2 linked regions of the Notamacropus eugenii genome follow. The protein of the gene in region 2 interacts with the protein of the main gene of each other region in a pairwise test. Links are inferred from orthologs where the notes say so. Each region holds a gene or a part of one and is shown on either strand. Other genes may lie near its edges.

What was found.
Region 1: the proteins of CTNNA1 (region 2) and ARMC8 interact in a two-hybrid assay, tested with the Homo sapiens proteins (2 studies listed by BioGRID and IntAct). The link is inferred for Notamacropus eugenii from reciprocal best matches to the Homo sapiens genes CTNNA1 and ARMC8.

The regions. Positions count from the first base shown.
Region 1 is NC_092876.1:329,188,180-329,191,926, reverse strand, and holds the start of ARMC8 (armadillo repeat-containing protein 8), read left to right. Parts: upstream 1-984; 5' UTR 985-1,202; coding exon 1,203-1,367; intron 1,368-3,747. UniProt on the Homo sapiens protein: Component of the CTLH E3 ubiquitin-protein ligase complex that selectively accepts ubiquitin from UBE2H and mediates ubiquitination and subsequent proteasomal degradation of the transcription factor HBP1.
Region 2 is NC_092872.1:366,019,361-366,023,107, forward strand, and holds the start of CTNNA1 (catenin alpha-1), read left to right. Parts: upstream 1-1,317; 5' UTR 1,318-1,516; intron 1,517-3,747. UniProt on the Homo sapiens protein: Associates with the cytoplasmic domain of a variety of cadherins. The association of catenins to cadherins produces a complex which is linked to the actin filament network, and which seems to be of primary importance for cadherins cell-adhesion properties.

The DNA of each region.
Region 1 (3,747 bases), on a different chromosome or scaffold from region 2:
AGGGAGTTCTTATCTCAGAAGCTGGAGTCTTTGGGTTTTAGTGTATTTCATATACCATTCTAAGGTTAAATCCTTACTTGTTTGACTTTTTTTCTTCTGAATTATATAACTTGTTCTGAATTATATAATTATCTCAATGTTCATCTTCACTTTGAATACCTGGCATTAGTCTTAGGGGTCAGATACCAAAATAACGAGGCGACCTTGGCTCAGTCACTTCACCTGTCTCCGTCTCCCCCTCTGTAGGGTTTTGAGAAGCGCTCCAACGGCTACACACCTACAGGAAAGGGTCCAGAGCGGGATTCAAGGAGCCCATGACGGGACCCCTATTTTACGTTACTATCCGTGTGACCTTGAACCAGTCTCAATCTCTGTGAACATCGATTTCGTCACTTATAAAATAAGAAGGTTGGACAAGGTGCCTGACAGTTCCAAACCCAAGAAAAGTTTTCTCTTAAGAGAACATGAAAAACACTTCATTAACTCTCATCCTCTAGAGGGCCCTCACTCAGTGCGCAAAGACCTTGCCCCGCCCAGGTGGAGGGTGGGCACGGGAGCCATTCCCACCAGGCGCATGCGTCAACTGCTGAACACCGCCCCTCCCCTCCGTCTCAATCCCCTCAACTAAGATTGATGCCTATTTCCCAACAGCCGATTCGTTAGAACGTTCCTCTTTCTTTTTCCTTTCCTTATTAACAGTCCTTCCCGGAGCCACGGCCGCGCCTGAAGCAGCGCGCACCTTTCCCTCGCCAGCCTCTCCACCAGGGATAGGTATTGGCAGCGGCGGAGGGAAGGCGCCGTCGAAAGTGCCGAAGCCATCCCCGGCCTTACCCCAACCCGGTGGGAAGGATCAAGATGGCGTGTCTGCTGGAGACCCCAATCCGCATGAGCGTCCTCTCGGTGAGTGACCCGCGGCGGCTGCCCGGGGTGGGGGTGGAGGGAGGGGGCCGCTCCGCCGCCTTCCGCACGCGGCCACGTTCTCCAACGACTTCCGTGGTTCCCGTCCCGTCCCCCGCAGGGCGGCCCTCCCTCCTCAGCCGGCCGGGCTCCGGGGAGGTGTCTGGGGAGCGCTCGCTGCGGGGACTTGGGAGTCGGAGATCAGCCTCAGGCAGCGGGGCCCTCCGGGGGACCCGGAGCCCCCGGCGCCGGCGGGGCCGCCTGGAGATCTGTCCACCCCGAGACCTGGCTGCGGAGGGAGACTGATGGCTCGTCTCCCTGCCGGGAGAGTGGGGCGGCCCCCTCCCTCCGGCTCCCTGACGAGCCCCGGAGGGGCTGCAAGGGAGGGGAGGAGCTGGGGCAGCCTGCCGGGCTCGGGGTTCCTAGCTGGGGACCCCGCGACTTTCAAGGGGGCCAAGCCTGGTATCCGGGTACGTGCGGGAGTCGCTTGCGGCTGAGTTGGGAGGAGGGGGGCTCATGCTGCAAGTCCGGTGAAAGTGTTTGTTGTCCGACCTCCTTTATCTGGAGCTGTCCATGGGGTCATTTCTCTGTTGGAGCCGCCCGGGGTAACGACAGATCAACTCCTTGGAGGGAGTTCAAAGAATAAAAAGGGGGTGACCAGACGTTCACCAGCTCGGGGAGAGGGCACCCTTGTAAGCCTGGCCTTCCAGCGCTTGGAAGGCTGTCACTTAGAGGGGAGGATACCGATCGGTTTTGCTGGAGAGAGGTCGGAATTTCAGGACCAGTGGTGGAAATTTTGCAGCCCTTACAATTGGAGCTGTCCAAAAGTAGTTGGATATAGGACTGGCGAAGCGGCCAACTTATTAAGGTAGCTGTTCAAACGGAGACTGGATGGCCGCTTGGCTGTTAAGAGGTGTTTTAGAAAGCATTTCTATGTGGGGTGGGGAATTGGAGCAGATTCCTTTTTTTGACCCAAGAGACCCTCCCATTTCTTTATTCCTATGCTTTTCTTTCCTCCTCTCTGTGCCCTTTTTAATGCTTTGGGTTTTGAGCAGATGACTTATTTGTGAGGCCCCTTTGACTCTGTGGTTTTAAATTAACTACATCCCCATTTCCTTAACGGATACCGTATTTGGGGAGGATTTTGAACAAAACACCTCAGAACTAGAGAAAGGGGACCTCTTCTTATCTATTCTAGATGTAATATAGTGTATTGACAATGCAAGTATTACAGTTTTAAGTAAAAGTTTACCCTCAGCTGTCCATGACACTGTCCTAAGTCCATCTTAATAAATTTTATATACCTTACTTATCAAACTCAACACAAAGGTCTAAGAACAAGTGTTCTCATCCTGATCAGATCAGGCCATTGTTCTGTCTCTGACAATGACGCCAAAAAATATTTTTTGGAGTATAATGATAGTTTTCTTTTAGCAGCCACATCCTTATAGATTCAGCAGTTCAATAAATATTTATTAGGCAACTATTGTAAGCATAGTTCTGTGCTAGAGGTTACTTATAGAGTGTAGATTCGGCATGGCCTCTGCCCCAATGCAGTTTACAGGTCAGTAGAGTACCATGAACATTCCTAACTTCTAAATAAACTTCTTTAGTGCTATCAACCATGCATCTCTCTAAGTTTTAAGTATTTACCTGCAGTGAAAAGTAATTTTTTATTTTGTTCTGAAGCCACCTTCTTCGGTCTTCAGGGGCTGCCTCCTAATTCATGTTGTGATAATCGTTGTTGGATAGGGCAAAGTGGATGTTTAGCTCTTATCTCAGGAGATGCAGCCTGCTTGTGGAGTTGCCACAGTTTGAGATATGGTTTCACAGTTCTGTAGGTCCAGAACTTCATTTCACCGTGAGTTGTTTGGTGTTTGAGATAACTTGCTTGTATTGTCCAAACAGAGGGATGATTTGATCCAGGATACCATTTTATTAAATTTGCTGACACATTTTTTACATGACTGAAAACTTGATGTACACTATTCTGGTGATTTCTTTTGTAGTATTGAGGTAGCTGGGAAACTGAACTGTTAATCAGAAGATAGCTCAACAAGCATTTCATCGGAGAGAAAGTTGGATTTGGCTCCGCCGCTTGCTACCTGTTTGATTTTGGACAAGTTACCTAACTCTCTGGACTTCAGTTTCCACATCTGAAAAATGAGGGGATTTGATTAGATAAACTTTAAGGCTCTTTCCAATCCAAAACTTAGGATCCTATTAACAAGAGTTATCATGATCATGATCATCCTAGCTAGTATTTATTTAGCGCTTTAGGCTTTGCAGAATGCTTCAGGAGTACTATCTGATTTGATCTTCCCAACAATCCTGTGAGATGCTATTGTTATCTCTATTTTAGAGATGTGGACACTGAGTGAAACAGGTTAAATGACTTGCCCAGGCTCACACTAGTTCCTGTCTAAGGTCACATTTGAACTTTCTTCTCACTCTAAGCCTGGTGTTCTATCCACTACTTCATCTATATTTCATTCAGCCTGAAAACTCTCCCCTATACTTTCTCTTTTAGAGAATTTATCTGTTCCATTGGCTTTAATTATTACTTTCTCTACAGGCGACAATTCTCTGTCCCTACAACCTGAGGATTTTTCTGAGCTGCAGTCTTACATCTCTAGCTTCTTGCTGGACATATACACCGGGGAGTTCTGCCATAACCTCAGATTAAACATATTGACAGAGTACTACATAAATATAAAGATAGGGATTGGACCTGTGATTTTATTTATATAGGAGATGAAATTATGTTAGAATGTAAATGCCTTGAAAGCATTCATTGATTACTTCATTCTTTACATTTGTATCCCCAAGGTAGCTCAGCATCTTCTCTGC
Region 2 (3,747 bases):
AAACAGGGTTAAGTGACTTGACCAAGGTCACATAGCTTGTAAGTATCTGAGTTCAAATATGAACTCAGATCTTCCTGACAAACTTGAATCCATTGGGCCACGTAGCTGTAATAAATTTGTTTGGCTATTCCTGAACTGATAGGCAACTACTTTGTTTCCAGTTCTTTGCTGCCATAAATATGTTGGTGCATGTAGAGAGGTTTAACTTTAACTCTTAGGTCAATTTCCTTCTTCTGAGAACATTTATTCAGAGTTGTAGTGCATCATTACATAATGAGGTACCTTGCATTCAAGTGGTGGATCAAATACAGAAAGGACAGGACTCCCACTTACAAGCCCCTTCATACTTAACCTCCTAATGTTAGGGCATGGAGTAGGTTAAGCTCTCCTCTCACAAAACCTAAATTGGGAAGACTTTATGCAAAATACCAAGGGAAATACAGTTTTCTTCAAAGGAATCTTTTGATATCACTTGGTAGTAGACACACCAAACTCTCAACGAATCTAAACGATGATCCTGCCCAACCATCGGTTATGTCGGCATTTTTGCAGGCTAGTACCAATTTTGCTGGTTATTCTGAAATGCAGGAGGTAGAATTTATCATTTAGTACTTAACGTTTAAGATTTGCTATCAGTTTTAGGGTGTATCAAGATTGGCCGCTCCCTGCCCTGCCCCATGTTGCGAGGGACGCTTTTTTTTCTTAATTTAGAGGGCAAAATAAAAGTGAGCTCTTACCTCAAAACTCAGTATGACTTTTCTGAAGGATTAATTCTGGGAACAGGACAAGCCTCAGGGGTCCCGTGGAGACATGCCTCCCATGCCTGGAACAGGCTAGGCGCTTAATAAACCTGAATTGAATTGAATTGGGATAGCCTAGCTCACTTACAGCAAAGGAAAGATATCTGAGATCCAGCTCAGTACCTGGCACAGAGCTCCTAAGTCTCAGGCTGAGGGGCGGAGCCTGCCTAAAAACCCCACCCTGAGACTCACCTGAGCCCCGGAGCCAGATGACTCACCTGCCCTGCCCCCATCCCCCTCTCTGAGCTCTTCCAGGGATTTTCTTCTCCTCCCCTTTCCCCTTTAATCTCTTCCTTACGCCTTCCCCACTCCAGGGGACTTTTCCATCCTGGGACAGCGGTTCAGGGCTTGGGGAGTTTGTCTCAGAGCAATACCCCACCCAGTCGCCCCCCTCTCCTCGAGAAATGTGTACAGTTCTCTTACTTGCAGGGAAAAGTCAGGGAGAGGGCGCGCGGCGGGAATGGCCGGAGCGGCCGCGGGGGAGGAGCCGGGAAGAGCGGCGAGGCGGAGCGGCCGCGGAGGGCGGTGCCGGGAAGAGCCTGGAGCGGGGCGGGGGGCCGGTGAGGGGCCGAGGGGCGGAGGCGCGGGCCACGGCCCATTTCCTCCTCGGGAGTCGGGACGGGAGACAAAGCGGCGGCGGCGGCGGCGGCGCTCGGCGTAGGGGCCTTTGGGATCCTCCTCTTCTTCCTCCTGCGCTCGCACCCCTCTCACCGCAGGTAACTCCCGGCGCTCCCTGGGCTCCGGGCCTGGGGCCCTCCGACGGACCCCGCCATTAGCTCCGGGGCGCCCCGCCCCGGCCTGCGCCCCTCCCGCGGCTCCCCCTGAACTTTGCGAGATTCGCGGGGCGGCGCCCCTCCCGGGCCGGGGAGTGCGGGGGCCTTATCGGCGGGGCGCCCCTGCCCCGCCACGCCCCGGGGAGGGGAGCGAGGCCCGGGGAGGTGGGGGCGCGGGGAGCGGGGCCCGGGCCGGGGTCAGCCCAGGTGGGCACTTTGGTGGGCAAGTGTGGGGCACTCCCTTCCAGGGCTGCGGGCGGGCTCCGCGGCGCCTCCCCCGCTCGGGCCAAGTTTCTCGAGGTTCCCGAACTAACTTTGTTAAGTTGTCGGGCGCGCCGAACCCTCCTTAACCCCGGCTCTGCCCGCACCCCAACCTCCCCCCGGCGGTGGCGGAGGTGGGGGGGCGCGGGGCGCTGGTGCGGGCGTCCAGCCCAGTCACTTCCCTTTGGAATAATTCGCATTTTATCCCCTGGGCGGGGCGGTGGTCCGCTTGCCTTGATTGGATTACTTTCCGAATAGTTTGATTGTTTGGGTTTTTCCAGTGGTTTCTCTTTCCTTTCTCCTTCCCACACCCGGAAATCTCTGGAATCTCGGTGGCGGAACCCAGATTCCACTTCCCTGGGCCATTTCACCAGGGAAAGTGATTCATTAAAAAAAGACTTCTGGCTCTCCGAAACTCGAGAACCTGATCCATTCGTGTTGGTTTTTAATTACGTAGCTTTGTAAATAAAATGGACTCTTAACTTGGATTGTCAAAGTACTCCCAACTTTTTATGCTAATGAATAGGACAGCATTTAACTCTTAACAATTTTAGTCTTGGTGCGGAAGGCAACCAATGGATAATTAATAATTTTGTAGTTAGATAACTAAAGTTTGCTTGTAATCTTTCAGGCAAAAATGAGTTTCCTGCTTAAGCTAAATGGGGACATAAACCGTGTTGTAACTTTTTTCCCACATTGGATTGTAGCTAAATAACATGAGTTGGAAACTTTGGTAGAAATGATCACATCCTTAGAGCTCCTTGATAGGGAAGCAGTTTTGATGGGGGTGGGGGAGAGGAATAGGGATTTCATTTTTCTTTTTATTAAAAGTACTGATTTAAAAACCTACCCATGCAGGTTTGCCTCACTTTAAGAAAATTAAAAATTATATAAATGTAAGTTATTCAAATAGTAAATATTGAGCACCTGTTACGTGCCGGTAATAATAATAACACTTGTTTATTGCTTTAGGGTTTCTAAAGTGCTTTTTTCACAATCCTGTGAATTTTTCCCATTTTGCGGATGAGAAAAGAGGAAAAGTTACCTTCTTGTGTCTGAGTCCCAGTGAAAGCCTAGGTCATCCATCTCAAAGTCCAGTGTGCCATCCACCATGCCGTGCTGTCCAGCACTAGACTACATGCTATTGGGGATGTAAAAGAAATATAAAATGTCATCTTTACCCTTGGAGACAGTCTGGTTATTGCCTCTGACCTAGTCTAAAACAAACTTGATCAAATCACTTACTGTTCAAAAACTTTGAATGTCTATTCATTCACTACAAAATGAAGGAAAAATCCTCCAGGCTGGCACTAGAGTTCTCCATAATAGGACATACTCCTTGCTTTTAAACCTTTTCTTTTTATGATCCACTTGTACCATTCATGTGGAGTCCTTGTCATTCACTGTTGTGAGGTGTGGTGTATTTGAAAGATTTTGGGTTCAAGTTCTGACTCTCCTTAGCCTTATAATGTCAAGTTCCTTTGTCTTGGTGTGAGACTCACTTTTCTCGACTTTAAAATGGGAATAATGAAGACCTGATTTACCTGGTTATTCTGCGGAAGATTTTTAGTAAACCTTAAAGCTCATTATCAAAGTGTGAACTACACCCTTTGTACCTTTTTTGCTTTTGATACAGCCATTCTCTCTATGTAGAATGCCCTTTTTTTCCCCTTTCTGCCTGATGAAATTCTGCCTATCTTTCAAGATCCAACTCAATTGTTGACATTTACATGAAGTCTTCTTACTTGAATTGGAAGCAGTCCCTGAAGTGCCAGGGTACTTTACTACTCATGACATTTTTTAAAAATAATTGTGTACTTGTCTTACCTCCCTCCCATATGTAAACTCCTTGAGGGTAAGGACTGTTCATATCAGTCTTTGTCTCAGCCACATCACTTTGCCACATAGGCATT